Lytechinus pictus: one gene and its partners. The protein of the gene in region 1 interacts with the protein of each later gene in a biochemical or structural test. Links are inferred from orthologs where the notes say so. Each region holds a gene or a part of one and is shown on either strand. Other genes may lie near its edges.

Region 1 (7,780 bases):
ACGATACAAATTACAAAAATAACGCTTTCCATAATATTATAATTTCAAATCTCTTTTAAGTACCTTTCTTATCTAAGCTATATACATGTGGGGTATTCACTTTTACATTTATATTGCATGGGGGTTTAAGACCGGCCATTGTTTCCTCTGCCATTTATACCTCTACCATTACTACTCCTGCTATTTTTACCTCTGCCAGTTTTACACCGAACCGACATATTTGCATTTTATTTGATTTATTCTATAGTATATGAAATATACCGTATATATATATATATTTAATGTTTAATGTTTAATGTCACATCAATATAATTACTTATAAAATTTGCAATGAATTTGTCTGAATTGAGTGATTGGGTCATTACATATTTGGTAGGTAGACTTTGGTTAGATAGTTTAGATAAATTAGATCCAATTCCAAAAAGATATGATTAATTGCCTTTCCAAAAGATGTGAACATGGGCCCGTAACACAAAACTTAGCAATGATCGTAGAACATTTTCTACGATTAATTCCATTGACTACAATGTACAATCAATTGTAAAAATTGAGTGTACGATTAATCGCTAACCTTTGTGTTACGGGACCCAGGATTCGAACCTCGAACAGTCGACTGCACTTCCCCACAGTCATACCTGGGATTAAGGCACATGCCACATCATAAAGTTACTAACGTTTTAAAACAAAAGAAAATAGCTTTTTCATCATTGGGACAAATATTCACAGATTTATGACATGCAAAGCGTTCCCGGATGGTTTGCACGTACAGATGCTTATCTTTATTTCCTACCTTTAACATGCACTTGTCACCCTTTTACTTGTTAGATCTTTCTCCTTTTTATCCAGATCGGTTTTTTTTGGGGGGGATGCTGGTCCTTTCTTTTAGAATGATACAAAAGTTTTAATTGGTTCGTGTGTTATGCTACAGTCACACAGATGAAACGGAATCCTGATCGATAAACGTTATTACTATTGGTCGGTTTGGAGTCGGTTTTATTGGTGTGATTGTAGCGTTAAAAAGCTCACACGACCGACATGATAATCGTTGAATCACTGCAACAACAATAATAATTACACGAGGGAGGAGAATTATAGGAGTTCATCAAGGTTTATCACTCAACGGTGTTATTCAGCAGTAAATCAGTTTTGTGGACTGTTTGTTTGTGAAGATGTTTTTCGAAAAATGGGTCAGCCGGATTCTGACGATCTAGAGAGATGGATAGGTCTGGAAAGGGAGAGTAAGAAAGAGGTTGCAGGAGAGTGCCCTGGGAAAGATTTTTTTGGCTGGGGGTGCTGAAGTAAGCCTAAATTCAGGGGCGGATCCAGCTTTTGCCAATAGGGGGAGGCATTAGCGTACCTAAGGGGGGGGGGCGGCAGACTGCCCCCCTGACGAGTCACAACACTTGCAAGGAACGTATCCCTGCCCCCCTGATGAGTTAGTCCCTGACTGGTGCTAAATAAATGTCCTTTACTTGTGGTTGAAGACCTTTTTTTTTTGCTTGTCAATTTTTTTTCTGGTGCGAAATGTCCTTTACTTGCGGGTGAAGACTTTTTTTTTTTGCTTGTCAAATTTTTTGGCGGACGAATTTGCCCCCCCCCCCTTTGGAAAATCCTAGGTACGCCACTGGGGGAGGGCTAAAAAAATCACCCATATTTTCCTCGATCTGCCGCTCAAAATCGACTTTTGTTTGTTTCTTTGAAGTGGTATTCGTAACAGTCACTTCTTATAAAACAATTTGTTTTGGGGAAATTTAATGTATTTTGTCCTGAAAATTGAACATTCTTGGAAATTTTTGTAATCCCGAACAAGATGCGTATGTAACTGATCGAAAAAATGACCTGTTAAGGACTGTTTGTAGTTAGCCATAAAGACAATACATATTTCAACTGTGAAATAAAGCGAGTGCGAAGCGCGAGCTGAAAATCTTTGACATTTCGACCTAAAAAATGAACATTCTAAGCAGTTTTTGTAATCATGAACAGGATAGGTATATAACTAAACAATGCGAGCGGAAAAAGTTTAGACCTTCAAACGGGTCACTCTATTCATGATGTTTTGTAAATCATGAAAAGGATGGGTAATTGGGTATCATACACTAATAATGTGAGCAGAAGTTTTTTGATAAGGTCTATTCTAACATGAAACTGGATAATTCAAGCATGTTTTAAATAAAGAACAAGCTGCGTATCTCAATAAACATGCGTGCGTGTGTTTAAGATTTATACCTAGTATCTGGGCATTCTAAATATATTTTTTATCATCAAAATCAATAATGCGAGCGCGAAGCGCGAAGCGCGAGCTGAAAATATTTGATATTCCGATCTGAAAATGGTCTTTAAGCACTAATTCAAGCACAGTAAGAAAACTGTGAAGTGGATAATTATGGATCGCACTAAATAAATGATGCGAGCGCTGAGCGTAAGCTATATTTTCATTATCATTTTGACCTAGGACCGGAACATTCTGAGGACATATTGTCATCATATGAAAATGATGACTGTCTTCCCTTTTCTCTACCTTAGCGCAAGATATTCCATTCTGAAAGAAGGACAATTTGATTATTAGGAATTCATGAAATTTTTTATTTTGTTTATTAATCTAATAAGCCTAATGACAGCTCGATATTTGTTGATATTAAGGCCTAAAAACTGGACATTTCAAGCACTTTTTAATTATGAATAGGGTGCATGTAGAGCAGGGGCGTCGATCCATTTTTCAGATTGGGGTGGCAAAATCATGACTCAACTTTTCAAAGGCGCTCGATCACACAAAACAAACAAACTCACCTACACACAAACACACACACATAGGCATGTATATATATATACATATATATATATATATATGTTTATATATATATATATACATACATATATATGACTCGTGAGAAAGAGACACATATCTCACCAACAAATTAATGCGAGCGCGAAGCGCGAGCTGAATTTTTTTAGTATACTGAACTGAAAACAGGAAAAAGGTACCCGTTTAGGATTGTTTGTAGTAAATCATGAGGAGGATCTTACTACACAGATAATGCGCGTGCCGAGAGCGAGCTGAATTTTTTTTTATATTCTGACCTGAAAGCTTGATATTCTAAGCATTTTGGTACGATTAAGATTGGTGTCTCAAATAACAATAGATACGAGCGCGAAACGCAAGCTGAAAAATTTGATATTTCGATCTGAAAAAATTGACAGTTTAATGGACGTTTTTGATAAAAAAAACAAGATATATATACCCAACAAAAGATTATTGCAAATCGAAGCGGGGGTTCTTTTGAGGTTTAGAACTGAAAACGGGACATTCTGTTCACCTATTTAATCATGAAAAGTATGGGTTTTTGCTACAGAAATGATGCGAGCGCGAAGCGCGAGCTGAAAAGCAGACATTTTGAGCACGATTTTAAATAAGGAACGAGTTGTGTATTTCAATCTTGCTTGCTGATTTCTGTGTAACATTACACTCTTATTTTATTTTTGCACATGAGGAATTATTGGGGGGGGGGGGCAAAACAATATATGTTTGCCCCCCAATATTTTCATTGGTGGGGCGATCGCCCCCCTACCCCCCCCCCCCCCAGGATCGACGCCTCTGAAGTAGAGTTATACATTACTTACCAATCAAAATGTGAGCGCGCAACGCTGGCTGATAGGTTTTGACAATCAAACCTGAAAATATATTTTTGAGAACTTTATGGAAAACACGAAGAGATAAGGTACTTTACAAATCAAATAATGCAAGCGCTGCGCGTGAGCTCAAAATGTTGATACATATGGTAGATACTGAAAATCAAACAAAATAATGAAAGCTCAATGTCGGAGCTGAAATACTTCAAAACTTGATATTTTAAGCTCCATATCAGCCTATCAGCAAGAATGTTATTATTTCATCAAACATCATGCAGTGCGATCGAGAGATCGAAAATTTTATAGTGCCTGATTATTTTATATTTATGTTGTTTTATAATAAAGAAGTGGACTGCACCTGCAAAAAAAAATCAATTTCGAGCGGCTGATCGGAAAATATTGGGTGAAAATAATTTCGGGCCTAATCCCCTACTGGCGCGAAAACTGGATCTGCCCCTGTGGTTGTCGCCATCCCAGCCCCCCCCCCCCCTCATTAAAAAGCAATGTCCCCCCAGGAAAAAAAAAGCTAGCTACGCCACTGTATATTATGGGCCACGCATCGGGATAAATATTCTAGACAGGGCCCTGATCGGCCCTGAACCCTTCGGGCCGCAGCGACGTACACCCCTTCTCGATCTATTTTTGTTTTATTTTTAAAACAATTAGTGCACACCGAGTTACCAATATTGCATATACGGTAGCATTTCCATTTATTTGAAAGCAGGATAAAAGAGCATTGTATATTAAATGCCTTGCTCACGGGCATAGGTGCCGCGGCCGGGGATCGAACCCCGGACTTTCCATGTACAGCCAGGCTCCTTAGACCACTCGGCCACGGCCACGGCACCTCCCTTCTCGATCTACAATGTATGGCCGCGGCGCCCGATCCGATCCGGATCCGACATCCATTCGGCAATTGCGTAACGGAGACTTGGATTAACTTTTGATGAAACTCAGAGGACAGCCTTCGGCTTCGTCACATTATTCCTATCATTTATCGGTAAGCAATCCGTAGCTTTTTTTTAACGTGGATTAACAATTTCGAGGTTTTTGACGTCGACTTTTTTGTCTGACCGACCTGGCTTGATCATGTTGATCATTGATGCAAGACGGATTTTTGCGTATTATGGCGTAGCCGTAGAATCTTCAATCTAGGCCTATCTATGTAGCTGCACTATTGTCCCACACGAATATATCGGTGTCTGTAATGTAAGTTAGTTGTGTGAGTGGTATGGTGATGTGAGTGTGACCTAATTCGCGCGTAACCTAATTTTGCGCACGGTCAAATATCTCATTATCTAATTAGTATCTTGAAAAACTGATATCACCAACAGAAAGAGCGACCCAAAATTACTTAGTATGGTAATTTTTTTTAAGGTAAGGTCTCAAATTGTGAAAATATTGGCAAAACATCAGCAAATTTTGTTTATTGTTACCTTTTGCGTCCGTTCCGAGAAAATCTGATATTCTCGACAAGCATCAAGAAATCGCCAGTTTGCAAGCAGAGGTCTCCAAATAAGTAAGTAAAATGTGATACCAACCGAATTTATGGCATTTTAACCTCCATCTGATATAATTTAATTATCTTATCTTTGTCTGCTTTATTTCTTTTCTAAAGCTTTGCAAAACGATCGTGTGCAAATTAAGGTCACACCTTTTTATGACACTTTTCAGCCGAGCGCGCACTAGTCGATCGCCATGGAATTTTGAGAACACTATATGAGCGAAACCATGGACTTACATTATAATTCCGTCAAGTGAATTTGACTTTGGGATCATGCCTTCCATTTGGTATTTGGATTTGGATTAATTTTGTGTGACAGTGTGAGAAATTTTTGATTGAAAATCAAATGATAATTGTTAAAATGTGCGCAAATTATGGTCACCCCATCATACCTGGTAGTGGTATGTAGGTAGCCTAGGGCCTGGAGGCTTCTGGAGAGTAAAAAAGTATCAACTGTACGTAGGCTACCTCGAGCGAAGTTCGTGCAGGCTCCACTTCACTACCGCTACACTACGGTCTACGCTTCACCTACCCGAACTTCGAGACCGTGAACTCGATCTGATATTCCGAGTGACAAAGGTGGGATTTTATGGGGGGAAATATAAAATTCATGCAACATCACGATCTTTAAAAACAAATAAAACTAATATTCGTACTTTACACAAAGTTTCACTTCTTTTCCATGCTTCTATCAGTCTCAAAATTGGTGATTTAGAGCCAACATGAAGTTCCTCACACGTATAAATAATTTGCTGCCGATTTCAAAACCTGAACTTTTTAGAATCAAAATCTATTATTTTGAATGGATTTTTATATAATTTTAGAAAAAAAAATTGCCATATCCCCTTTCATTTTCTTTCTATTCTTCATTTTCTTGTTTGTGGAGCTTTTTTTTTTTGGGGGGGGGCGGACCTCAAAATCCTCCATCTATACACCAGTGATGAATAGTAATTCATTGTACTTTCCTCCACAGTAAGAAACTCATCTGTCAACATGGCAATGAGAGATCTTGTTGACGGGGAATGTGGTACGGCCAACCCCTTGATGCGTTTAACGTCTCACTTCACCCAAGACAAGTCTCTGCATCAGGAGGGTCTCCAGCATCTCCCAGGGCCAGGTGGGTTTGTGCAGGAGGCAAGACCCTTCCTTGAAGCTCCTGACCAAGAGGTAAGTGGCTATTCACACCTGGGTCCCAGGGGGAAAAAATACACAGGCAGGGGGTGATTTTGCCCTGAAATGCTCAAAAAGCACCCTGGAAATTCCCCATTTATTGCAATGTTAAAGCTTATTAGCCAATGTTACAGATTTAGGGGATAAGTTGTGAAAAGTAGCCCCAGAAAATAAAGATTTAATTATTTTGCTGGCACTGGATCATGTTCCATAAATACTTTTTGTAATAATGAAAACTAATATCAGCCAATCAAATTGAATGATTTTGGTTGTTCCGAAATTTATAACAACTTTATGAAACGGCCGTGGACTTAAAAAGCAGTGCATGCTGATGTATTTATACAGTACAATACCATTATCTACATGTATTTTATGTCAACCTTCCTAGGTATTAAAATTGATAGGTATAAGTTGTATTTTTTAATTTTGAGTGCACACATGTGCATTGAAATGGTTTTGCAAATTGTATTTCTAAAAATTATTTCATAGCCCTCACCTGTTTTACATGTACATCCACTGTGGATGAACTTTGTCTAACCTTTCCTCTATTTTGCATAAGGGCTTTAAAGAAGTGTGAAAAAAGGAGAGAGAAAAAAACATCGACTACAACCCCCCCCCCCCCCCTCCAGAAAACCAATGCTAATGGTCCTTCTGTCAAACACTAATTCTAATATAAAATCTTCATATTTGATGTTCAGTTGGTCAATGAGTTCCTGTCTGATCAGCATCGCCATGCCGGTCCACCTCAGACGTTCCGTATGGATGCCCTTCTTCAAGAAATGCAGGAGATTGAAGGCTTGCATCACCGCCAAGCCCTAGCCCAAGGTATGAATGGGTGACCTGATAGTTGATCATGCAAGACTTTTCTTGTCTGAATGATCCATTTTGTTGATACATGTAGTTCTAATCTGGGCATAAGGTTCATTTGAACAATGAATTGAAAATTAAGAAAATATGTCCTGTCTGAATGAATCATGTCATATACCCTTTTTACACACGCTAAAATTTCCTTAACCCCGTACTATAGGTGGGGCTAAATTGCCATTTAGCCCCACCTATAGTACGGGGTTAAGCTTAGCCCACTTTCTTTTTACACAGCATTTTTGCAAAGTGGGCTAACCCCACCTTTAGTACGGGATTATTTGGCCCTGCAAAAAAGCAGGGTTATCCCAGCAATTGCGGTGCTAAGAGCGATAGTACGGGGTTAAGATCGCTAGTGTAAAACGAAAGTGGGCTAAGCTTAACCCCGTACTATAGGTGGGGCTAAATGGCAATTTGGCCCCACCTATAGTACGGGGTTAAGGAAATTGTAGCGTGTGTAAAATGGTACGAGTGAAGTACTTGTACTACGAATGATCGACAAAAACCACTAGTCCGGGGTTAGCGAGTTTCGTGTGTGAAAAGCAAGCATTCCTTATCCGGGGTTAGCAATAACAATTTGGCATGTGTAAAAAGGAAAAAAAATAGTACGGGGTTAAG
Region 2 (7,451 bases), on another chromosome or scaffold:
GATCGATAGTTGAAGTGATAGATAAGGATAATTTGATAGGCTTGATAGGTGGTTGGATAGATGAATGGATGTAAATGTGGAAAGATTGATGGATCAATGGGCATATATGGATAGATTGATGGCTGGGGAGAGAAATAGAAAGATGAATGGATTGGGAGATGGATGGAGAAACAGAAATATGGATGAACATGGGGATGGATGGTAATATGGATAGATAGATGGATGGTAATATGGATATATAATGGAGAGATAAAATGATGAACGGGTAAGTGGAAATACATAATAGGAGGATTGATATATCAGGTGATGGATAGAGAGTGAAAGGTGGACTGATGAACAGATAGAAGGATACAAACTTGTATTAATTGAATGATAAAGAGACTGAGACAAATGGCTTGATTAGAAAATAAATAAATGAATGAAATAAATCTAAATAATAAAGGCATGATTAAAAACATAAATATTATTTGTGAATTGGAAATCATGCTGTTTCACTGGAAATGTTAAACCCAGTACTCTGATAAAAACATGATGCACCATGTTATTTTAAGCACCTGATATTGAGCCAGTAACGGGAAGTTTGTTGGATTTTAGTCCTGAACATTCAGAGCCTGATGATATCCCTTTTAATAGCTCCTCGTCTTCAAGATCTTTCTCTGATTTCTCGTGCAGCACAGGATTAATTGCTCCCGACTTAAATGTCTTGATCAGCTCCAGAGCATCCTCTTTAGAAATATTTATCTCTGAAAAGGTGTTAGGTTAAAGAAAAAAACTATGACAATTACATCTACACAATATAATACTAGAAGAAAAAAAAGAGAATTATTAAGTTGATACTTGACTTTGAGAATGATATAAAACCACAAAAATATGCCATTAAGAATCAATTTTATTGACAAAGACAAGATTTGTAATTGTCACTGACCACATTCTACATTAACTTAATTTATACTAAATCCAAAAATGTTGGAATTATCCTGCTTTAAGTCACCAGTTCATTTACTGATGTCAAATTTTGTCTTCTCTCTTCTGAGTTGTGTGCACTAATTACTTTTTGTAGCTTACAAAATCTATCTGAAAGAGTACAAAGCTGTCACCTGCAATGATAAATACACAGCAGCGAGTACAATGGTAAAAAAAAAAAAAACAATGATGTGCGTTCGGTACTTGTCTCTCGTACTGTATACTGACAGGGATATATCAAAAACCTAATTGAAATTTAAATATGCATCCTATCATCAGAGTCAGGGTTGGGCTCAATTACAATTACAATTAGGTAATTGAAGAAATGTTAAATTACAATTACTTTTCAATTAAATTAATTTTTTTTTCAATTACAATTACTTTTGTCAATTACAATTTCAATTACTTTCATGAAATCAATTTATATTTTGTATGTAGTGTCATCCATTTCAACTTAATTCTATGTTTGAGAGAAACTGACAAAATGAATGATTATTAGCTTAGAGAGCATTGATCCTGCCTATCACTCCCTTCAATGCTAAAGTCAACTGACATTCTCAATAATATGCAGATCTGCATGCTTTAGTTTCATTTGTAGAAATCATGATGTACAACATGAATGTAAACTTGAATTGAGAGTTGTGACCTCGTTCATCAAGGGCTGATCCAGCTTTCAACTATAGGGGGCAGGAAAAATATTTTCATCCACTAAAAACTCACTTTTTGAGGAGGTATTCCCAACTTAATTCTAAAGATTTTAGTAAACATCTTACGTTTTCTTACTAACAAAATCAGGCCACTACATGAGTTTATACGAAATGTAATTTTGCTAGTATAAAAAATTACATAGTTTGATTCCGTGTTAGAACCTATTTTGTTTTGCAAATTTGTCCCAAATATTTCAGATGTTCAATTTGTGCACTTGTTATAGCAATGTATCCTCTTTCCTCTGGCTCCACATCATGGGAACAGTGGCGTAGCTACGGGGGGGCATGGGGGGGCACGTGCCCCCCCTGAGATTTGGTGTGCCCCCCCAGGTGCCCCCCCTGAAAAAAATTGGCAGAGCAAAAAAAAAGGGAGAAAGGAGAAAAGAAAAAAAAGAAGAAAGACAGAAGAGGAAAATAAGAGGAGGAAGACGAGTGAATGAAATAATGTGAGGGGAAGACTTGCAAAAAAAAAATCTTTCATGTTACCATATAAAATGTTTGCTTGCGCTTCGCGCCAGAATTGCCTGTTCGATGAGATTCATATCTTGCTCAATAGGCTGATATGGAGCAAGTTTTGAAGTCTATGTACAAAACATATTTTAGCTCGGACATCGAGCTTTCATATTTTTGTTTTCATTTACAAATTTAAGTGCTCTGTAAAATGTCCGTTTTTATGGTCTACATATCAGCATTTTAAGCTCACGCTGCGTGGTCACATTGTTTGATTTGCCAAGTTCATATTGTCTAGGTGTATTCCATAATGTTCCATAAAACAAATGTATTCAGAATGCTCAGATTCTAGGTCTAAATCTAAAACATGCGCGATAGCCTGCATGTTCTTTATTTAGAATGTACTTAAATTATCCAGTTTCACATCAGAATATCAATAATTGTCTGCTCACGCTTCATGATCGCATTATTAATGATACCCAATTAACTATATCCTATTTATGATTTACAAAATATGACTAGAGTGTCCCGCTTTTAGGTCTGAGATCTCAATTTTCTACCTCTCGCGCTTCGCGCTCGCATCAATTGTTTAGTTACATACCTATCCCATTTATTAATACAAAAAGTGCTTAGAATGACCATTTTTAGGTCGGAATTTTCACGCTCGCATTATTGAAATATATACCGTCTTCGTGGGTAACTGTAAGCAGTCCTTAACAGGTCCCTTTTCGATAATGCTAGAACAGTTAATAAAAATTTCTGCTCGCGCTTGGCGTTCGCAGTAACCATCTAGTTACATACGAATCTTGTTCAGGATCACACATAACATTGCCCAGAATATTAAATTTTCAGGACAAAATACATGAAAGTAAAAAAAAATCGCTCGCGCTTCGCGCTCGCACTTTTTATAAGGCTTATGAGATTATTTCATGTTAATGTTGTTTTATAAGAATAAAACTAAGAAGTGACTGATCGGGAAAATATAGGTGAAGATAATTTCGGGCACCGTCCCCTATTGGCGAAAGTCGGATCCGCCTTTGTGACACATACACACACACCTAAAAAATGGTGCCCCTCCTGAAAAAGCAAGGACCCCCCAGTGCCCCCCCAGGAAAAAAATCCTAGCTACGCCACTGCATGGGAAAGGATATATTTGCATGCAAGAGATTAAAGGTCAAGTCCACCCCAGCAAAATATTGATTTGAATAAGTAGAGAAAAAAACTAGCATAACACTAAAAATTTCACCACAATCGGATGTAAAATAAGAAAGTTATGGCAACTTAAAGTTTCGCATATTTTTCACAAAACAGTGTCATGCAAATGAGTCAGTTGATGATGTCCATCACTCACTATTTCTTTTATTTCATTTTTTACAGATTTGACCATATAAAGACCGACTTGACTGAACCATATACATGTAGCATTAAACTGCAAAGCTAATTCCACATGTTCAGGGAGGAATTAATCACTGTTTCATTTGACAATAGAAAATTAGAATATTTCATATCTCATATAATAAAATACAAAAGAAATAGTGAGTGGATGACATCATCAGTCTCCTCATTTGCATACCGACCAGGATGTGCATATATAACTGTTTTGTGAAATTAAGAGAACCTTTAAAATGTCAGAACTTTCTTATTTTACATCCGATTTTGATGAAATTTTCAGTGTTATGCTTGTTGGATTTTTCTTTCTTTATTCAAATCCAGTAATTGAAGTCAATTACAATTTTTCAATTACAATTACTTTCCCTTTAAAAATTTCAATTACAAATTGCAATTACTCAAAAAATATAATCAATTACATAATTGATCAATAGAGCCTAACCCTGAAAATTCAGAGCTCTGGTCTGGTGTACTACTACTAGAACTTAGAAGATATCTGCTTTTTATGGCCTAATTTGTAAGAAAACTAAGATTCGTCATGAGCACTAAGTTAGGAGCGGAGCAACTGTGCAAGAAATTTTGCACTTTTACTTTTTTAGAATGCAAAATTAGGTAAATTTTAGCACTTAGAAGGCATTATAATATTGGCATTAGGATGAAGAAAAATAAAACTAAAAAAGAAAAAAAAATTCTTGAAAAGTGGGAGAATGTATTATTAATGTTACTCTACGTGTTCGGGCTGCCGCAGTAACTCCACCCCCCCCCCCCTGAAACTGAAGGATATACAGTATCCCCTCCCAAAATCTTTACGGCCCACCCCCCCCCCCCCCACGAAGCCGGGCCACGATTTATGCCAGCAGTGATTCACACAAATTTATAAACTACTAGTAAGTTACAAATATTCGGAGTCAGACTCAGATGGCCGATATGGATGCTGGCATATGATATGGCTTCTAAGTTCTAGGGAGAAACCAACTAACATAATTGTAAATATATGGGACTACAAACGAAACTTTTGCTGGATAAAAACAGGATATGTCGCTGCTTGCTTACCCTTGCTGAGTTCTGATGGTTTCAGCTCCAAGATATCAGAAGTAGAACTAAATCCCGCATTGTTCAGCTTCAGTCTGAAGGATGGAGGTATAGGAAAGCTATTTATGTCACGCTGCATCGTGAGGTAAATTGTAAAAACAGGATATCAAATTGAATTCCCCGCGCATGTTTCCAATGTCGGCAGTCGCGTGATGATCGCGCCGGGCTGATGGCCGGGCGGCGCGGCCGGTCGGTCGATCGGGCTGCTGTCCGTCCGTACGTGGCTAAGTCTAAGCCTCTGTGGGGTCTTCTTATAACATTAACAGTAACATCCAAACGCATCAATATTCAGAAGATAAAGAAGACTAAGGCGCGCCGGGGCCCTGCCCCTGGGCCTGGTATACTGCCTGGTTGCATGCTGCTGAAGCTTGAACTTGGCCTAGAATGAATGGAGCCGAGCATGTTAATGTTTGGACCTCATTGGACTTGGTCTGACTTGGTACTAACGTTAGGAGTGGAGCCGAGTCTGAGGTAGACCCATATAAAAAGGTCTATTTCTTTCTGGGATGTGCTCTGCTGAGCTGAGACTTCATCAGGCTCCACTCCGTCAAAAAAAAATCAGAAAATTTTGTTAAAAATAAAAAACTCCTCCGCAACAGGGCAGGGGACATATTCAGTACGGTATCAATCATCAGTCTAAAATTAAAAAACGTTAAACTTAAAGTTAATCGCACTAACGTTGTAGCAACGCATTAGGTGTGAGTGAAGCTGAGGCGATGACGGTCGACATTAAGTAATTCTGGATTAGGCCTTTAAATAAGATAAAAGTAAAAACTAAAAAAATACTCAAAAAAAAAAGAAAGAATTTACACGAATTAAATTATTGAGGTTATCTTTGGTAATGATTTCCGCTTGATCTCGAATTTCGGCTTCTCTCATAGGCCTACATACAATATGTCAGTTTTGCTTTGTGAAATAAATATGATAAGCAGTTCGATAAGGGGAACTTTGGATAATTCAAATTTATGGGCAACTAAATTAAAAATAAGGTCTATGAATGAAATAGTGCAGATACTAACTATTGTTTAATCAAGTACAATTTTATTGATCTAATTCCTAGATTTGATCCCTAACAGAGTCTAGTATGCTTTGAATTTGGATCAGTTTGAAGGTAGCAAGCACTTTTGTGTAGATCTACAAATAACTTATGTCCCTAAAACCAAGGATAAACAATAAAACTTACATTCAGTTGTTGGATGGGTGGGCCGTAACGTAAGTAATTGGAGTGTTTAAACATATATTTTTAAATTTCTTCTCCTTCACAGCCCAGACGCGGTAGACGGCTAGCTACGTACTCGTACACAGTGTGAGGGACATTAGTCCCCATTGCCCCCCCCCTCAAGCCTTAAGGGGATTTCTAATTTTTCTACATCTAACATTAAAGTAGATCGAACTTAACTTCCATTGATAGTGGATATCTTGCATGTCCATGTCTCGCTCAGCTGAGAAATACCAGCAAAAGGGATGCAACTCTGTCTTTGCTGTATAGTCATGGTAGCTTGTGTAGTAGATCTAGTAACAGGTAGTCCCGAGTTAACGTTAGATATGTATTTGTGATATGGACGAGTTCAGAACTAAGCAATTTGTGCATGTATATACATTTTGCTGCACGTTTGGATGAATTTCAATACCATGTACTTGAAAAACTTAGATTATGACGAGATTGCACACTGGAATTCAGTGGTAAAAGGTTGTTTAATAACACTAAATAATGATAGCTGACAGGTATTTTTATAACTTTTTCCAAACAAAATGATATTATATTTCTTATTAGTAGTCTATTTTTTCTCCAGATTATTATTGACCTTTTTTCTAAGTTCGATCTACTGTACTTGACTATTTACAACTTGAAGAATTTCACTCATCGTTCCATGGCTTGTTTTGCTCAATAGTGAGCAAATGTCTAATTTCAGCAGTCAATCTGTTTTAGAAATCGATCTTTTTTATTGTTAAAGGAAACTTTGGCTACCTGGAGAAGAAACTGAGATACTGCTATTCTGCAATCTGATGTGTGCAAATTCTAAATCACAATGGCAGAGTTCGGAGCTCATCTTACTTCAGCAACCACTGACAATCGACCATCATTCTTTGAGGTTCTTGCCCAAGAGAGCCTAATGGTTACTTTGAGACCTGCTCTGTCCTACTTCTTAAAGGTAAGTCAAAGGGTACTCTTCATGAAAACATCATTTTAAAGAATTCAACAGCATCCTAGAATATTGTTCTACTACTGCACAATATTGTTGGCTCTCAAAGAACCTAGACTTTGGAGACATTGCATAGAACTTCTAGAAGAATTTTTTTCTTTTTTTAAATCAATCATTAGTCTTATTTACAAATTTGCAATTGAGGGATTGAATTGGCGTGGCGTCCGTCGTCTGTTGTCCGTCCACAATTTCCAAATTCTGCTTCTTCATTTAAAGTCCGATCTCAATTCTGATTGCTTTATTATGATAGCACTAGGTGGGGATTCAAAACTTTTACACAGAATTTTGAAACTCATTAAATATGCTAATTCATGCACATTTTTCAAAATTCACAAAAAATGCTGTTCCTTCTTTATTTATTGACCGATTTTGAGTTTTTTGCTTCCTTCTGGTAGATCTTCATGAGGTTCACAAAACTTCTACACAAAATTTGGCTAGAAAAAATTTTATGCTAATTTATGCAAAATTAATTTATGCATATTTTTAAAAATTCACATAAAATGCTTCTTCGTCTTTATTTGATGACCAACTTCGATTTTTTTTTTCATCCATCTGGTAGAGCTACATGAGGGTTACCAAACTTCCACACAGAATTTTGAAATTTTGACTAGAAAATTATTTATGCTAATTTATGCAACATTTATTC
Region 3 (7,894 bases), on another chromosome or scaffold:
TTAGGGGGGACCACCAAATTTTTTTGACAAGCAAAAAAAAAAAAAAAGTTATCAACAAGAAATTTAGGGGGGATCGTCCCCCCACCTCAAATTTAGGGGGGGACGTCCCCCCCCCGCTTCTGCTGCCTATGCATGTGATGTATGGAAGACAGGCAGCAGAATGGTTTTGAAGGGGGGGGGAGGAGGGGTGGGGCTGACCATGATAGAAAGTCACGATCAGACGGTAATTTCATGTTTATGGAAGAGATGCTCTCATAATTATGTCACAATATTAAAAAAATTTAATAATTCTGTTTTTAAAATTTTCATCAAACCTTCAATTTTTTTATTGTGCTGCTGCATAAGACAGAATTTCGATATTGGGAAGTCTAAAATGTAATCATTTTTTCTGTATGAAATTATTCCATTTCTTTTAATATGGGGGGGGGGGGGGGTGCTCGTGAATTGATCGACAAGATTTCAGAGCCAGGGGCCCGATTCATAAAGGACTTGGAACTGTTGTAACTTTGCCATTATGGCAACCACCATGGAAACCTTGATTATGATTGGCTGCTGAGCCCTAGTTACCATGGTAGTTGCCATTATGGGATTTGGGGTGGCACGCTAGGGTCGGACAGGGTTAGGGAGGGGAAGGGAATTAAAGAAATATAGATAGGGAGAGAAAGAGAGTGAGAAACAGGTAGAAAGTAAGAATTAAGGGAGGGGGGATGCAAGCAGAGGAAAGACAGAGAGGGAGAGAGAAAGAGGGGGGGGGGGTCTAGAGCTAGCGGTAGCAGCTAGCTAGAGGGCCATTCTCCGAAAAGGGGCACCAAAGGACATTTTCGTGTCTCCAACTTTCTCTAGGCTATAAACCATAATTTAATTCATCAGGAAACCAATTTTTTGAATTTTATTTATACTACAGAATATGTTGAGTAGAATTAAAATCAACCGAGGTCACCCCACCTCATGAAAAAATTATATACGACAGCACAAAACATATATGTGCTCATTTTACCCATGTCTCCAGCGACCTGTGTGATTATATTTCATACTCCCGCTCTTTACCGTAATATCCGAACTTCATGTTTTGTCCACTAATTTATAATGCCTTCGGTGCCTAAATAAAAAAGCATATTGCTTAGCGAAAAAACTTTTGTATATTTTTTCCTGCGGTCTTAGCGAAGGTGTCTCCAAATCGGGATAAGATACGTTACTTTTTGTATGATACCCTAAAAAGAACGAAGACAATAATGCAGTGATCTGTATTTCGGTGTAGTGAATAAGTCCATTTCAAGGCTATATAAATACAAATAGTGTATACTGAATCTCTATAATAATGAATATATTCAGACACAAAGTTTTCAATTGTGTATGTTACCATAAGGTAAAATAAGATACGTTACTGAAACTTTGCTCTATTACAGAAAAATAACTTGGTTAACAAAGTTATAATGTATTTTGTTTTAGAGCACTCTACATTGCTTATGGTAATACATGGGAGTTATGAAAGAAAAGGTTGTTATTTTGTGAAAACACAAGGTTGATCCTAAAGGCCGTCAAATACGTTACCGTCAAATACGTTACCGCATTGCGCGTTGATAGGCCCATTCGCGCATTCTCTAATTTTGCACATGCTTTTAGCGCTTCTTCACCCTTCAAAGCATTGAGCGTTACGTGCTGAGAGTCTGAGGGAGATGTAAGGCTTCTCGCCGTTTGTTATTCATCCCAGCTACGTGGTTGGTAAGAATTTTCATTTTTTGAATATTGACAGAATATAGTTCATTTATCTGTTTGAGTACTATGATACATTTGAGAGTTATTTGAAGTTGATGGAACAGTTACATATAGGCTTAAGACATCTAACACGTATGCATGCGATTGTTTAGTGTGTGTGATAGCTCGCATGAACATTAGAATGTTACCAGATAGGCACGGTAACGTATCTTACCCGACTGGTAACGTATCTTATTAGATATTAATGTCATGTTTTTACGTACACGACGACTAACTATTTTATATTTATTTGTTATTAATTATAAAATAATGTACATATAAAAATCCCATGCTGATATTTTTCCTCTCTGTCTGTCTCTCGTTTATTTCAGAGAAAAAAAAGACATGGGTAAAACGCGTGCTGAGATCCGGAAAGTCAGAGAGAAAATCTGAGTTAACCATCGAACAGTTGACACTAATCGAAGATTTGGCCAAAAAATATAAAGAAGCACAAATTAAGTAAAAGGATCAATATTAGAATTTGCAGGTGACAAATATTTGGACAGCATTACTTGTATTTATGCACTTTCCATATCCTCCCATTTTTCGAACAATTTACAAAGAAAAGGAATCCTTTCCCTGTGATGCAAGAATGATGAAAATGGCATATTTTAATAAAAAAGGAAAATAATGACGTTATTAATTTTTTTTCGGAAAACATTTCTTTTTTTATGAGCAAGTTAATGATGTAATTCCCTTACAATTTTCTTCACATTTAATTTACAGAAATCCTTTAAAAAATCCATTTATCAAATATGATACAGTAAAGTTTTCCTATTCAACTAACCCCAAATTAAAACAAAATGAATGAGAGATGCTATTTGTTCTTAAATATTTGTTCTGACATATCTTAAAGGGGTATGGTTGCCTCAATGCTGGCAAAAACAATCCAAAATGTCATTTAAACGTGACAAATTATGAGGGGATGACATTAACAACTTGCTCATTAGAATATGTTTTCTGAAAATGTGAAATTTTGAAATATAATATTTTCCTTACTTGCTGTCGGTTGTTATCCGGTTTGTATTATCCTTCTTAAATCATGCTAATCATTTTTTTACCCGGCTTTTTGCTTTAATACGTGCCACATCATGTACAAGCGGCAACATAATGTTAATTGTCAACTGATATGTGGAAGGAGAATATTTCGATTCCGTAGTCTAGTTGTTTTGTCTTGGCTCTCTGAATGTACAAAAATATGAAAAAGTAGAATCCGTCAATATAGTGTAAGCTTTAATGTACCGAAATATTTGAGTGGATGATGAATCAGATGTGCTACAAAGACATTTTAATTACTTGAGAGTTGTGTCTGCTACGTTACCACCACTATCTACCGTATAGCTCCTTGGCTCTCTTTAAATTTTAAAAACAAATTTTATGACAGAACATGTGGAAACACATTAATTTATACAAATCTTTTTATAACTATTCAGCGTGATTAATTGTTAAGAATGAGATCTTTTATACAATTTAAGAAGGTTCTTTTTTTAGGAGCAGAGCCGAAACACCAAGTATAGCCCAAGTGAAATAACATTGTACTTATAAGTTTAAATTATCAACAGTCAAATACGTTACCCTACGTTGCAGTTATATATTCGTCTAAACACTCGGATGTAATCAAATTTATCATGTTTTTCCAAACTGCATGATGTTACATATTTCATTAAAAGTTAACAAAGCTACATAATAGACTGTACACATTAGAAATCAAAAGCTTTGGTCATATATTTGAAACAGTATTATAATTATGTCTTAGGTTAATTTTGTCTGTGTTTGTTTATCGATGCATAATTTTATTTACTGAACTATGTCAAGGTGATCATCATAAATAATCATTATGTTCGAGGTGGATATAACATTTTGATGTAAGACAAAATGCAAGAGTGAGTTTACGCATGTTACTATTATAAGTCACAGTAACAACATTTTGTAGTATAGATGTCTGTAAGATACGTTACCATATTGACATATTACAGTTATATATTTGCCTTGCACTCGCAGGTAATAAATTTGATGATATTGTTCCATCTTAATAGTGTTAGATATCTTATCAATGAGTTTATAGAAGGAAATGGACTAAGTACGTTGTGCACTTTAAATCAAAAGTTTAGCTCATACATTTCAAACAGAACATAATTATGTAATTGCGTCACAGTAACAATATTTTGTAGTATAGATGTCTGTAAGATACGTTACCATATTGACATATTACAGTTATATATTTGCATGCACGTATATATGCTATAGATGAATACATGACTTTGCATTACTGAGTAGTGTTTTTTAATCGGGATTATAAATCTGAATGTTCGTAGTTGATAATTCGTTTGGATGTAAAATATATTGCACGATTGAGTTTATCGTTATCTTGAGATATAAACCACAGTAAACGAAATTTTGTGGAAGTATGTCAGATACGTTACCAATTTTCTCTTTTCTTGTAATTCAGAATGTATAAAATCTGTAGTAAAGTGTGCTTACAATGAAATTTCTTTAATAATTTCAGTATTTATGTATGATTTTTATTAATGTTTCAAAGCAATATAAGATCAAATTGTATTAGAGATATGAATTGCAATTTAGGTAATGTATTTTATCTGAAAATATACTATTTTTTTCGGGCTGATTTTGACTTACAGACTTATAACATTTATCATTTTGATACATCTCGACCAATCAAATGTCAAGAATTACTTTTTAATCATGTGTGTATATTAGTTACGTTTACTTTGAAATATTTACTGATACTATTGGTCCACAAATGATACATCCACAGCGATTTTTCTTGTCTAAGGCCTAATGGTAACGTATCTGACGGGTGGTAAAAACTATGTAAAAAGGTGTTCAAGTTCAATGCTATTTCTTGAAAAATATGTTGGGGTCAAAAATCACCCGTTTGTTGTTATGTGTTCTCGAAGTATTAAAGTTTCTGAATTCAAATGAGTTTAATTAATTTTCGTATGTCAAAATTTGAAAGTTTGTCCAATCCTATTGGTGCACTTTTGTGGAGAATGTACCTAGAGGGGGGGGGGGGGGGGAGATCGAGAGCTAGATATATAAGATCGAGGCCATGACCCGTCGCGTCATGACGTAATACAAATTCTAACTAGCAGATTTTAATAGCAGATTTAGCAATGGCCGCTCCGCCGAAACCATGGGAGAAAAGAGGCTCAATAAATCCTTCTTTAGGATATCCAGCCGACCAAGCAATGCTGTAAGTGGTTCTTTATTTTATTTCACTTTTATAGTATTAATAACAAAGTCTATTTCATGGTCGTTATTGGTCAGAGATGGATTTATGTGGCACCGAAGTGAATTCTCGCTGCAAAGCTCTGTGTAGTCCGATGCGTAGTGATTCATGTATCGAGTGATCAAGGAGTCCTTGACTTGAGTCTGACTCCGCCCATATTAGCCAGGCGGCTTCTTGAGAGTAAAAATAATTTATTAACGTACTACGTAGGCTTACTCTAAACGAAGCCAGGGAGTCCTACCTATTCATCTGCGTGTACCGCAAAAAACCCTGAAACTTTCGCCCCCGAGATTTCTACTTTCCTTCTATTTTGTTCTAAAAGTAAACTAAAACTAAAACTAAAAAAAGATCTAGCTCTGCCTTAACCCAGAGAGCTCCCGCCCACGCAGCGGGCGGGAGCCCAGAAGCTCACCGTGTATTTTACCATTTTCACCGGACTAGGGTGATTTATGGTCTAAATATTTCTCCAAATGAATTGTGAAAACGGAAAGTATACAATTACCACGATTATATGGATGAAGGTCTAACGAGTGGCAGATTCCTGACATCTGGGCACAGTCTGGAACCTCAAAAAAACGAAAAGTTCTCTCCTTCTACCCAGTCTCGATCGGCCATTTTGTTACGATTTTTAACGAAAATGGCCGATCGAGACGGGGTAGAAGGAGAGAACTTTTCGTTTTTTTGGGGTTCCAGACTGTGCCCAGATGTCAGGAATCTGCCACTCGTTAGACCTTCATCCATATAATCGTGGTAATTGTATACTTTCTGTTTTCACAATTCATTTGGAGAAATATTTAGACCATAAATCACCCTAGTCCGGTGACAATGGTAAAATACACGGTAAGCTTCTGGGCTCCCGCCCGCTGTGCGGGCGGGAGCTCTCTGGGTTAGCTCTGCCTCTGAGTCTGATGTACATGGGATAAAACTTCATTTCCGACATTTATACGCTCTCGTTATTTTTAAACAAGAATTCATCAAAAAAATGAGAAAATATTGTGAAAAGACAGAAGAGACTTGCCCGATGTTTACGCCGCCATCTTGTTTCTTATTGTAATTCCCCAACGTTACGGACGCGAGCGTCGCGTCCGTGGATTAAAGTGATCATTTCACTTTGTTCTGATTTAAAAAATTCTCATTTTGGTTCTTGAAAATGGGCTTAACATTAGGCTTATAGTGTAAAAATACCATCCCAAAAGTTTCAAAGTCATGAAAGTATTATATCCACAGGATCAATTTTAAAACCTTAAAGATGTAAACCAAAGTTTGAAAATAATTGGGAGTTGGTTTCAATAACTATGACATGTGTATACAGTGAACCTGTGCACCACAACACACGAACTCTAGATGAACACAGCATGGCCTACATACAGTGTGTACTAGGTATACACTGAATGTTCAGTGCAGCTAATAGCGTGTGTGTGTAAATAGGAGATACACACAACAGAAGGCAGTCAAAATAGCCAACGGACTTTTTGAATTGGAGTAAACTGGTCATAAGCTTAACCTGTCTACTAGACGGTTCTCAAAATCAAGCTAATAAATTGCTACTTGTATCTAAATTAGAGTTTTTCATTCTATATTGTGGTTTGTTTCAGGGTTTTTGGGGACAAATACATGCACTCATACACATGTTTTGTCTCAGTTTGAGAATTTTGTAAATCAGCTGCTCACAAAGTTAAACAATCCCTTTAACCGCACCCCCAACTTTGGACTAAAAAAAAAAAAAAAAAAAAACTAAGTTAAAGATTTCAAAGTATCCAAAGAGATTACCGGTATGCGGAAATCTGCTGTTCTTGATCAATTCATCTACAAATGTTTGCAAGAAAGAAAGGTCCCGACAATATTGGCCACTTACACACTCACTCACCTCACAGTCACAGTGTACACACACACAGCACTGCTGTTCTTGTACATTGCAAACTACGATACGGTACCAGTACATCTTATCAAATAATGATCTGTGTCTTTCCCGCCGTAGGAGGAAGAAATATTCACATTTCTTGCATCACAAACTCACAATCACTTTCAGAATTTGTCTAGCATTCGATGTCTTAGCATGAATTTTGGATACGGGATTACTGGAAGGAAGGTTCAAGAACAAAGAAATTGGCATTTTTTACAGTTGTTTTGACGGCTTCGTGCCGTCTCTCTCGTTGCGTGGTGTACATGCTATCTTATGAAAAGCAAACGGGAAAGAAAAAATAAGCTGGCGCGAAACAGGACTTTAGAGGGGATCGAGGGTTAAAATGAATAGCGCCAGCTTAAGTCGCACTATTACCACAATACAACGCAAGCTAGCTCAGCTAACTCAACTCTCGCGCTCGCTCAGCTGTGACAAAATATTACCGAGTATGCTTGGCTTCTCTTTGAACTTAGCCAGGGAACTTCGCTGCTTTGAACCGAGAATAAAAGTCGAAATGAGTGTTATGAAGGTGGGTGCGTTTAATAATCGCTTCTTATTACCCGTGGCTCATACCCCTCTATCCCGCCGAGAAAAACGTACGGTTAATAGACCGTTACTTACGGTATGTATTGGTGAGTGAGCCAACGCAGTTCAGCGGAACAACCATAATACAGAGACTGAAGCTTTTGGTCTAATTACGAGCATGCATGATTCATTGACCCGTACGTATTCTGAACTCTGGTTTAAATTAAACCCTAGTTTAAAGTTGTATTCTGAACCCGGGTTTAAATTAAACCCTGGTTTAAAGTTGTGGTGTAACTATGGAGAGCTAGTACTAGTTGCAGCACAAATCCCTAACAATTACAATACACATCCAATTTATTAACTCACTCATAATGACATCCATATTGTTCATAATTGTCTGGAAATGATAACTGAACTCTGAAGAGGAGTGAAGTATTTCAAAGTATTATTATGAAAGCAAA
Region 4 (7,923 bases), on another chromosome or scaffold:
ACTTAGTAAATTGCAACTCAATAGCACCTCGCAAGAGTTTCTTGAAATGTTTTTATCACATTCTTTTTTACCCCTCATTAATAAGCCGACAAGAGTGACGAATAACTCAGCCACTATAATAGACAACATTTTCAGTAATACAACTCAACAACATCATAAAGCTGGTATTATTCTTAATGGCATCTCTGATCACTTTCCAAATTTTGCTAAATTATCTACGAATAAAAGTGTCAATAAAGAAACATTTAATCCTGCATTTCGAAAGATAACTGACGACAACATAACCAATTTGACTAATAATTTAGACACAACAGACTGGTCTACTGTATATGACTCCTCGGACGCCGACGACGCATACAACTGTTTTATTACCATACTTACCTCTTCTCTAGATACCCATGTTCCCCTTACAACTAACAGAAGATCAAATCATAAAAAGATCCCTATCCACCCTTGGATTACTAAATCACTCTTAAGATCCATCAAGCGCAAGAACAACCTATATTATAAATACATAACTAAACCAAGTGATACATCTCGCTTCAAGTCGCTACAAGTACACTTCATATAAAAACACTCTTACATCTTTACTTCGTATTGCGAAAAAAGAATATTACACTTCTCAACTCGATCTAAACAAAAATGATATGAAGAACACATGGAAAATCATCAATGGTGCGTTAAACAAAAAGAAGAAGAGTTCTACAATTACAAAAATACAATCAAACAATACCATCACTGATGACAACAACATAATAGCAAGAGAGTTTAATCCATATTTTTCACAAGTTGGCAACAATTTAGCAAGCAAAATCCCTCAAACGAATAAATCTTACAACAATTTTCTCGAAAACCCTAACCCAAACTCCATATTTTTTAATCCCACAAGCTCAAGAGAAATTATAAATATTGTTAATAGTCTGCTGACCAAAAAGTGCCCGAGGTTTGACGGTATTTCCAACTTCCTACTTGAGAAAATTATCTTGGTTATCGTCGATCCTTTGGTGCATATTTTTAATATTTCTTTGAATACAGGAAGGGTACCAATCTTATGAAAATCGCAAAAGTAGTCCCTCTTTTTAAAAAAGGAGATAATCAGCTCGTCTCCAATTACCGTCCCATATCATTGCTCACCTCGTTATCAAAAATTCTTGAAAAACTTGTCCATACACGAACTAGTACCAGGCACGTAGCCAGGGGGGGCGGTGGGGGCGGTCGCCCCCCCCCCCCCCAAACGCCCCCAAAAAGAAAAAAAACAGGGGAAAAGGGAGAAAAAGAAAAAGCGAAGGGAAGAAGGGCATAGCTTTATTGGTTTTTTCTTTCTTTTTTGTCAAACATGTCAAAAATATAAAAACCTAAATGTGATGTTCGTTTCTCTCTTCATACAAAATTTTGCTTCCGCGCTCCGCGCGGGAAAAATATCAGAATTGCCTTTCCCCTTTGTTTCCCACACCTTTTTTCTACTCCGTTTTTCCCCTTCCCCGGCCATGGGACTCGCATTCTTGCCAGAAATTATAAAGTATACATGGATAGTATGAAAAGTATTTTTTTAAGACACAAAATTTCGGCTCTTCTGTTCAGAGCGGGTAAACTTTTATACCGTCCCTCCCCGAGTCCCCAAATGCTATATCAAAATTAGAGCAGGTTAAAGTTTCAGAGAAATTTATACAATTCAGAACTTGCCATTCGCGGGAAGAGATCCCTGCATGTATTAGCTTTCTACAGTCTGTTTTGCGAGTTAAAGAAATTTAATGTGGCTAAAGTTTTTACAATCAAATCTGATGTGACTAAGGTTGGTATTTTATATCACTTTTGTTCTCATTAAAAAAAAAATAAAACGTCTTAGCTTTCGCGCTTAGCGCGGTAGAGGAATTATTTTGAATTCCTAAATCTTTTCCCATTTTGTAGGCGCTCATCTTTTCTTTTGAAAACAAGTTTTGTTTTTAATCACAGCAAGTCAATTGAATTTGTGTTGATAAGGGTATTAGGGACGCAGGAGACATCTTATTTTGATTGAAATTTGATGAGATATCTAAAACTTCGCGCTCCGCACGGGAGGGGGAAAAAGGGGGAAACTCCCCCTCCCTGCACCCTCCCCCCTAGGGAGCGCGCTTCGCGCGCTCTGTAAGTGTTGGCACGCTTCGCGTGCACTTACCGCCCCCTCCAAAATTAAATCCTGGCTACGCAGTTGACTAGTACGTTCTTTAAAAGAAGCAATATCTTTTCGGACTTTCAATTTGGGTTTCGCGAAAATCACAGCACCTCGCATGCAATTTTATTTTTCGTTAACAAAATCACTATTTCCACTGATAAAGGTTGTCATACTGTCGGTATTTTCCTGGACTTCTCCAAAGCCTTCGACACCATTAACCACGGAATTCTCTTGCATAAACTATCTCATTACGGTATTAGGGGGATGGCCTTGGAGTGGTTCAGGAGCTATACCTTACAGATAGGACTCAGTTTGTATCAATAAATAACCATAATTCATCCAACCTTCCAATTACTTGCGGGGTACCACAGGGTAGCTTACTCGGCCCTCTTCTTTTTATCACTTACATAAATGACATCCACAAAACTTCAAATTTACTTTCATTCATACTCTTTGCTGATGATTCCAACATTTTCTTTTCTCATGATAACATAAACCAACTTATTAGGATTGTTAACTCTGAACTCATGCATGTGACTGAATGGATCAAGGCAAATAAACTCTCCCTTAACTTACAAAAGACCAATTATATGTTATTTAGTAATAGAATAAACAGTTTGCCCGACAATATCATTTTTGATAACACTGTCCTTGAAAATGTTTCTGAAACAAAAATTTTGGGTGTACTTATTGATAATAAATTATCATGGAAACCACACATCGACAATATATGCAAAACAATTTAAAGAAATATTGGAATTATCAACAAGCTCAAATTTTTTCTTCCATCTCGTACACTACTTACACTATATCACACCTTAATATTACCATACATCAATTACTGTATTTTGGCATGGGGTTGTGCAATTCAAACGCAATTACATAGGATACTTTTGTTACAGAAAAAGCACTTAAGATAATAATTCATACACATTTCAGATTTCACACAGATGAATTATTTTTTGAAAACAAAATCCTTAAAGTTAATGATATATATCTGTTCCAACTCGGCCAATTTATGTACAAACTAAATAAAGATGATCTCCCAGCAATTTTTTCAATTATGTTCTGCAAAAACTCTTCTGTACACGATTATCCTACAAGACAACGAAACTTTTATCACCTACCTCCAACCCGAACTTTACTTGCAAAAAATTCTTTTGTCTTTTCTGGTCCCGTATATTGGAATTTCTTGCCCAACGACTTCAAGGAATCCCCAAGCATCACTATTTTTAAACATAATTTAACATTTAACATAACCTTAAAAAGATGCTTATTTGCCAATACTTTACACAAACAAGTCAATCTACCATATAACTAAAACTACAACAAAAACTACAAAAAAAAACTTCTTTTTTAACCTCCTTTAAACTTGCCTGCCGACCTGTTCCCGCACCTGCCATGCCCCTGTTTGCACCTCCAATTGTACCTGCACCCCTCCTCTCTCCCTACATTTGCCTCTCTGTTTCTCCCTCATTATCACAATTATTGTAACCATATTTTTTTTTCTATTTTTTTTTTAATTATTACTATTATCATTTATTCCAATTTGTGTCACTCTTTCGTTGTTACCTTTGATATTTTGTATAGCCTCCTTTTAAACTGTCTTCCGTCTCTCCTTTATACTATAGTTTTGTAATGTTGTCTCTAAGTTACGTATTGAAACTAAGTTATACAGGGGCTTGCCTCCCAAACAAGCTTTGCTTTTCTTGGCAAGCCCCTCCGTTCTGTTTTATACATGTATAGCCTTAGTCAAAGTTACTTTAGTTCTCATTAGTTCTCATCGTTTATACCTTCTAATTCTTACGTATATTCCGATTGATATTGTACTTTAAATTTGACTATGTATTGTTACTTTGATTTTGTTGTGCTTTGTGAACGGAAAATGAATAAAATCTAAATCTAAATCTAAAATCAAATAAGGGCCCAGGGTGAACCATTATGCCGCGAGCTAATAAAGCAGTGTCTTGAAATAAATATGGTTCAAGTGTGTCTTGTTTTTTACGTGCAATAAATTGTGCCAGATAGCGTACCTACGGGGGGGGGGGGGCAGAGGGGGCAGTCTGCCCCACCCTGACGAGCCACAACCCATGCAAAGGACGTATCCCTGCCCCCCCCCCCCCCCCCCTTGACGAGCTTGAAGACCCTTTTTTTTTTTTTTTTGGCTTGTCAATTTTTTTTCTGGTTACGAAATCCTTCATTTGTGATTGAAGACCTTTCTTTTTTTTTTTTTTGCTTGTCAATTTTTTTGGCGGACGGTTCCCCCCCCCCCCCTGTGAAAAATCCCAGGTACGCCACTGTGCCAGATAATCAATATATAGTTGACCTCGAGCAGGCCATATATGGATTCGCATTTCGCTCGTATATACAGAATATATAACCAATTTATCTCCCGGGTTTAATCTCACTCGATCTCTCACCACCACTACCGCACCGCACTGCAGTGCAGTGCTGATATATACTGTACTGTTTTGCTTTGACCTCATTCATTGCGAGTACACATGTACAGTGAGTGCTAGTGTCAACTGCTACCTACTGATGGAGGCGTTATTGCAAATTGTATTTTAATACGTTTAATAGGTCTACTAGTGTTCAGCATGGCAGCGGAAAAGGGTAGAACGAAGAGAGTGGTCGTTGTCGGCGCTGGCGTTATAGGGCTTTCGTCGGCTGTCAATATCATTGAAACTATCCCAAATGTTGAGGTTACATTGATAGCAGAACATTTTGAGGAGCATATGGCATCAAGCGTATCTGGTGGCTTGTGGAATCCCCGGGAAGTCCCCCTCAACGGCACACCCATGCATGTTCTTCGGTATGTTCTCAAAGTCAAACTTAATATTGTAGCATAAATACTAGTAGTAGTAGTACTACTACTAGAGTATTCATTCCTAAACTAAATAAAGCAATAATAAGATGGTGTTTACATCGTCTTATGAGCTTAAAAAATGCCACTTTCCTCATTCTCCCCCTCAAGCACCTACATGTATCTTGGACATAGGCGGTGGAAGCGGGGGGGGGGGGGGGGGGACATGTCCCCCTCAACTTTTTGTTGATAACCTTTTTTTTTTTTTTTGCTTTTTCCAGCGTCCCCCCTACATAAGATAACCTTTTTTTTTTTTTTGCTTGTCAAAAAATTTTGGTGGTCCCCCCTAAAATTTTTGGCTTCCACCGCCAATGATCTCGGATCCCCTTATGGGCCCTTTTGCTCCCCTCTCCCCAATTCCCCTCCTCCCCTCCCCCTCTTCTTCCTCTTCTTCCTCCACTCTCCTCATCCACCATTGACATTATTATGGACCTTATACTTTAGGCCAAAGCAGTGAGTTTAGGGTAGCTTGGGGGCTCAGTGCCCTCTGAAATAAATTGATTTAATTGCTTGTCTGAATTTATTTTTACGGGAAAGTGCTTCTGGAAACAGCTGTGACATTTTTAAAATGTTTTATGCTTGTGAAACTAATTGTCATTTTCTCCCTGATCCTGTCAAAGTTTCACAGTTCCACAAGTTCAAGTATGTATTTACATCTATTTTGCATTCACTTTATCTATCATACATGTATATTAATGGTAATTTGAGTTTAAACAAAGGTTTTGTTTTCAAAGAATATGATATGTGATCACGTTTTTCCAAAGAGTTCTATTGCAATACAATATATCCAATAAATCTCTTATTCCTGGACTTGTGCAGAGTGATCTAAATGAAGATGACATAATGATTTATTCATGCTTTCCAGGAAATGGGGCAAGGAAACTTGGGATCATAGCATTCCTTTGGCATTGAGTTCGGAAGCATCCAAAATTGGAATAGAGTTCATCCCCGGTTACCGTTTGTATCCAGAGATGATCAAAGAAGAAGTAAGTCTTCATGTTTCGGAAATTTTTTTTTTTTCACTGAAAAGAGGTGAAAGAAATATAATTTGATAAATGTTTTACACAAACTTTTGGTCAGACATGAATTAGCAGAGCTTTAAGACTAAATAGTTATTCAATATTGATACATACCAAGATATTTATAATGGAAAATTTCACATCTCAGAAGTCTAATACCATAAATCATTAAGAAGATCTTTTGGTAGGATGAGTTCTCAGTGGATGTTTTGAACCACACTTTTGGGGCAATATTATGCATGGTGTACGGGGAACTTCCATTATTATTATTATTTTAGATTTTTAGATTTTAGACGACTCCTTCTAAGACGGGCTCCAGATCTATGGGCAGTGTGTGTGGGTCTGGTAGGAGTTGGCAGACCAAAAGGTGTTGCTTCATCTGGTCCTCCCCATGTTATAAGCTACTGAAATCCTGGTATCTAATTGGCTGAGAATAAATAAGTCAGTGAAAACCAGTCACTTAAAAAAAAAAATTATGAAATAGTACCTTGATGATTTTTATTTTATGTTATGTGCACATCATTATTCTGGTGTGTTGTGTCTTGTTGAATTTATTATTTGAATACAGGAGGAGCCATGGTGGAAGGATGATGTTATAGGATACAGAAGAGTTCCTCAAAAAGAAATCAAACAACTCTTTGCTTCGACATTCAAGTAAGTTCTTGGGCCCGTATTCGGAACTTGGGTGTCATTTCAACTCTGGTCTAAAGTTGTGGTTAACTATATGGATAGCCAATAAATTGTCATTGCGTCAAAAATCTCAGTATGAATTCAATTTGACCGCACATTTGGTGCTCAATCCCGGGCTCAATCCATTCAAAACTGTTTGGGAGTGATAATTAAGATAGTTTACCCTGCCATTTAAGCCTGGGGAAAAGGACACAATTCAGCTTATAAATGATGTTCATCAAATTTAATTGTAATGTAATTTCTGGTATATAGCTCAGAAATTTAGCTTGCTTTGACAAAATCTATTCCACCACTGACATTGATAACTGGTGTTATAACGGCATTTTTACATTACAAATTTTAATTGTGCCTCTCAAAAGGGGGGGGGGGCACTGGCTGGCTTTGCCAACCCCCCCCCCCCCCTCCCCTGGATCTGCCAGTGCCTAGAAACTTTTCAAAGACTTGTTTGTTTTCCCCTTTAGATTATAGGCCTAATGTTTTCAATGTTATCTATATCTAGGGACAGTGATTTTCAATTTTACCGGTAAATAAAACAGAAATTCTGTTTGGTTCTTACACTTTTCATGTAAAAATTCATGGAATTCACCTTTGCAAAAATGGAATTCAGGTTTTTGCTGTGTACATTTTCAGTGACAAAACAGAATTTCAATTTTTAGATCAAGTCGAAACAGAATTACAGATTTCAGAAACTGAAGACAACCATTTTTTGAAATGGAAAATCACTGTCTCTAAATTATTGCACCTAACATATACATTTATGTCACCTTAACTATCTTCTTGTGCTAACTTCTCAGTTCTTATGAATTATTTTCATGGAACATATTGATTATAAATTTGTAATTTCATTTTCAAAGTGAGTTGAAAATTTCTGTTGAAAATATATCATACCTTGCTGTCAATTATGAAAATCCATATTTTAATGTTCGAAAAAGAAATGGAAATCCTTCGAAAATATGTTTTGCCCAATTAATTGTGGGCCCCAGCCGGCAGCCACTGTGCAGCGCCAGATTGACGTAGCTCTATCCCTTGTATTGTTGAACGCCAAACAGGGTAGTAGCAACTCCCATCTTTTAACGTCTTTCGGTCTGACGCGGCCGGGGTTTGAACTCCCGGTTGTGAGACGGACACTCTACCAACTAAGCCACCACACTAAGTGAAACTGCTCATTAATGCATATGAACCTTTCAGTAATCTATTTC

What was found.
Region 2: the proteins of peroxisomal targeting signal 1 receptor-like (region 1) and peroxisome assembly protein 12-A-like form a complex in vitro, tested with the Homo sapiens proteins (2 studies listed by BioGRID). The link is inferred for Lytechinus pictus from reciprocal best matches to the Homo sapiens genes PEX5 and PEX12.
Region 3: the proteins of peroxisomal targeting signal 1 receptor-like (region 1) and peroxisomal membrane protein PEX13-like form a complex in vitro, tested with the Homo sapiens proteins (3 studies listed by BioGRID). The link is inferred for Lytechinus pictus from reciprocal best matches to the Homo sapiens genes PEX5 and PEX13.
Region 4: the proteins of peroxisomal targeting signal 1 receptor-like (region 1) and D-aspartate oxidase-like form a complex in vitro, tested with the Homo sapiens proteins (2 studies listed by BioGRID, with this or other methods). The link is inferred for Lytechinus pictus from reciprocal best matches to the Homo sapiens genes PEX5 and DDO.

What each region holds. Positions count from the first base shown.
Region 1 is NC_087258.1:5,595,303-5,603,082, reverse strand, and holds the start of peroxisomal targeting signal 1 receptor-like, read left to right. Parts: upstream 1-4,534; 5' UTR 4,535-4,627; intron 4,628-4,843; exon of another isoform or gene 4,844-5,146; intron 5,147-6,104; 5' UTR 6,105-6,124; coding exon 6,125-6,298; intron 6,299-6,999; coding exon 7,000-7,126; intron 7,127-7,780.
Region 2 is NC_087246.1:9,740,899-9,748,349, forward strand, and holds the start of peroxisome assembly protein 12-A-like, read left to right. Parts: upstream 1-4,335; 5' UTR 4,336-4,562; coding exon of another isoform or gene 4,563-4,680; 5' UTR 4,681-4,686; exon of another isoform or gene 4,687-5,090; intron 5,091-6,556; 5' UTR 6,557-6,631; coding exon 6,632-6,754; intron 6,755-7,451. Other genes in the region: DNA repair protein RAD51 homolog 3-like, read right to left, coding at 555-743, 4,563-4,680. UniProt on the Homo sapiens protein: Component of a retrotranslocation channel required for peroxisome organization by mediating export of the PEX5 receptor from peroxisomes to the cytosol, thereby promoting PEX5 recycling.
Region 3 is NC_087261.1:4,569,029-4,576,922, forward strand, and holds the start of peroxisomal membrane protein PEX13-like, read left to right. Parts: upstream 1-4,794; 5' UTR 4,795-4,889; coding exon 4,890-4,969; intron 4,970-7,894. UniProt on the Homo sapiens protein: Component of the PEX13-PEX14 docking complex, a translocon channel that specifically mediates the import of peroxisomal cargo proteins bound to PEX5 receptor.
Region 4 is NC_087251.1:43,917,775-43,925,697, reverse strand, and holds the start of D-aspartate oxidase-like, read left to right. Parts: upstream 1-4,558; 5' UTR 4,559-4,749; coding exon 4,750-4,964; intron 4,965-5,880; coding exon 5,881-6,001; intron 6,002-6,602; coding exon 6,603-6,688; intron 6,689-7,923. UniProt on the Homo sapiens protein: Selectively catalyzes the oxidative deamination of acidic amino acids. Suppresses the level of D-aspartate in the brain, an amino acid that can act as an agonist for glutamate receptors. Protects the organism from the toxicity of D-amino acids.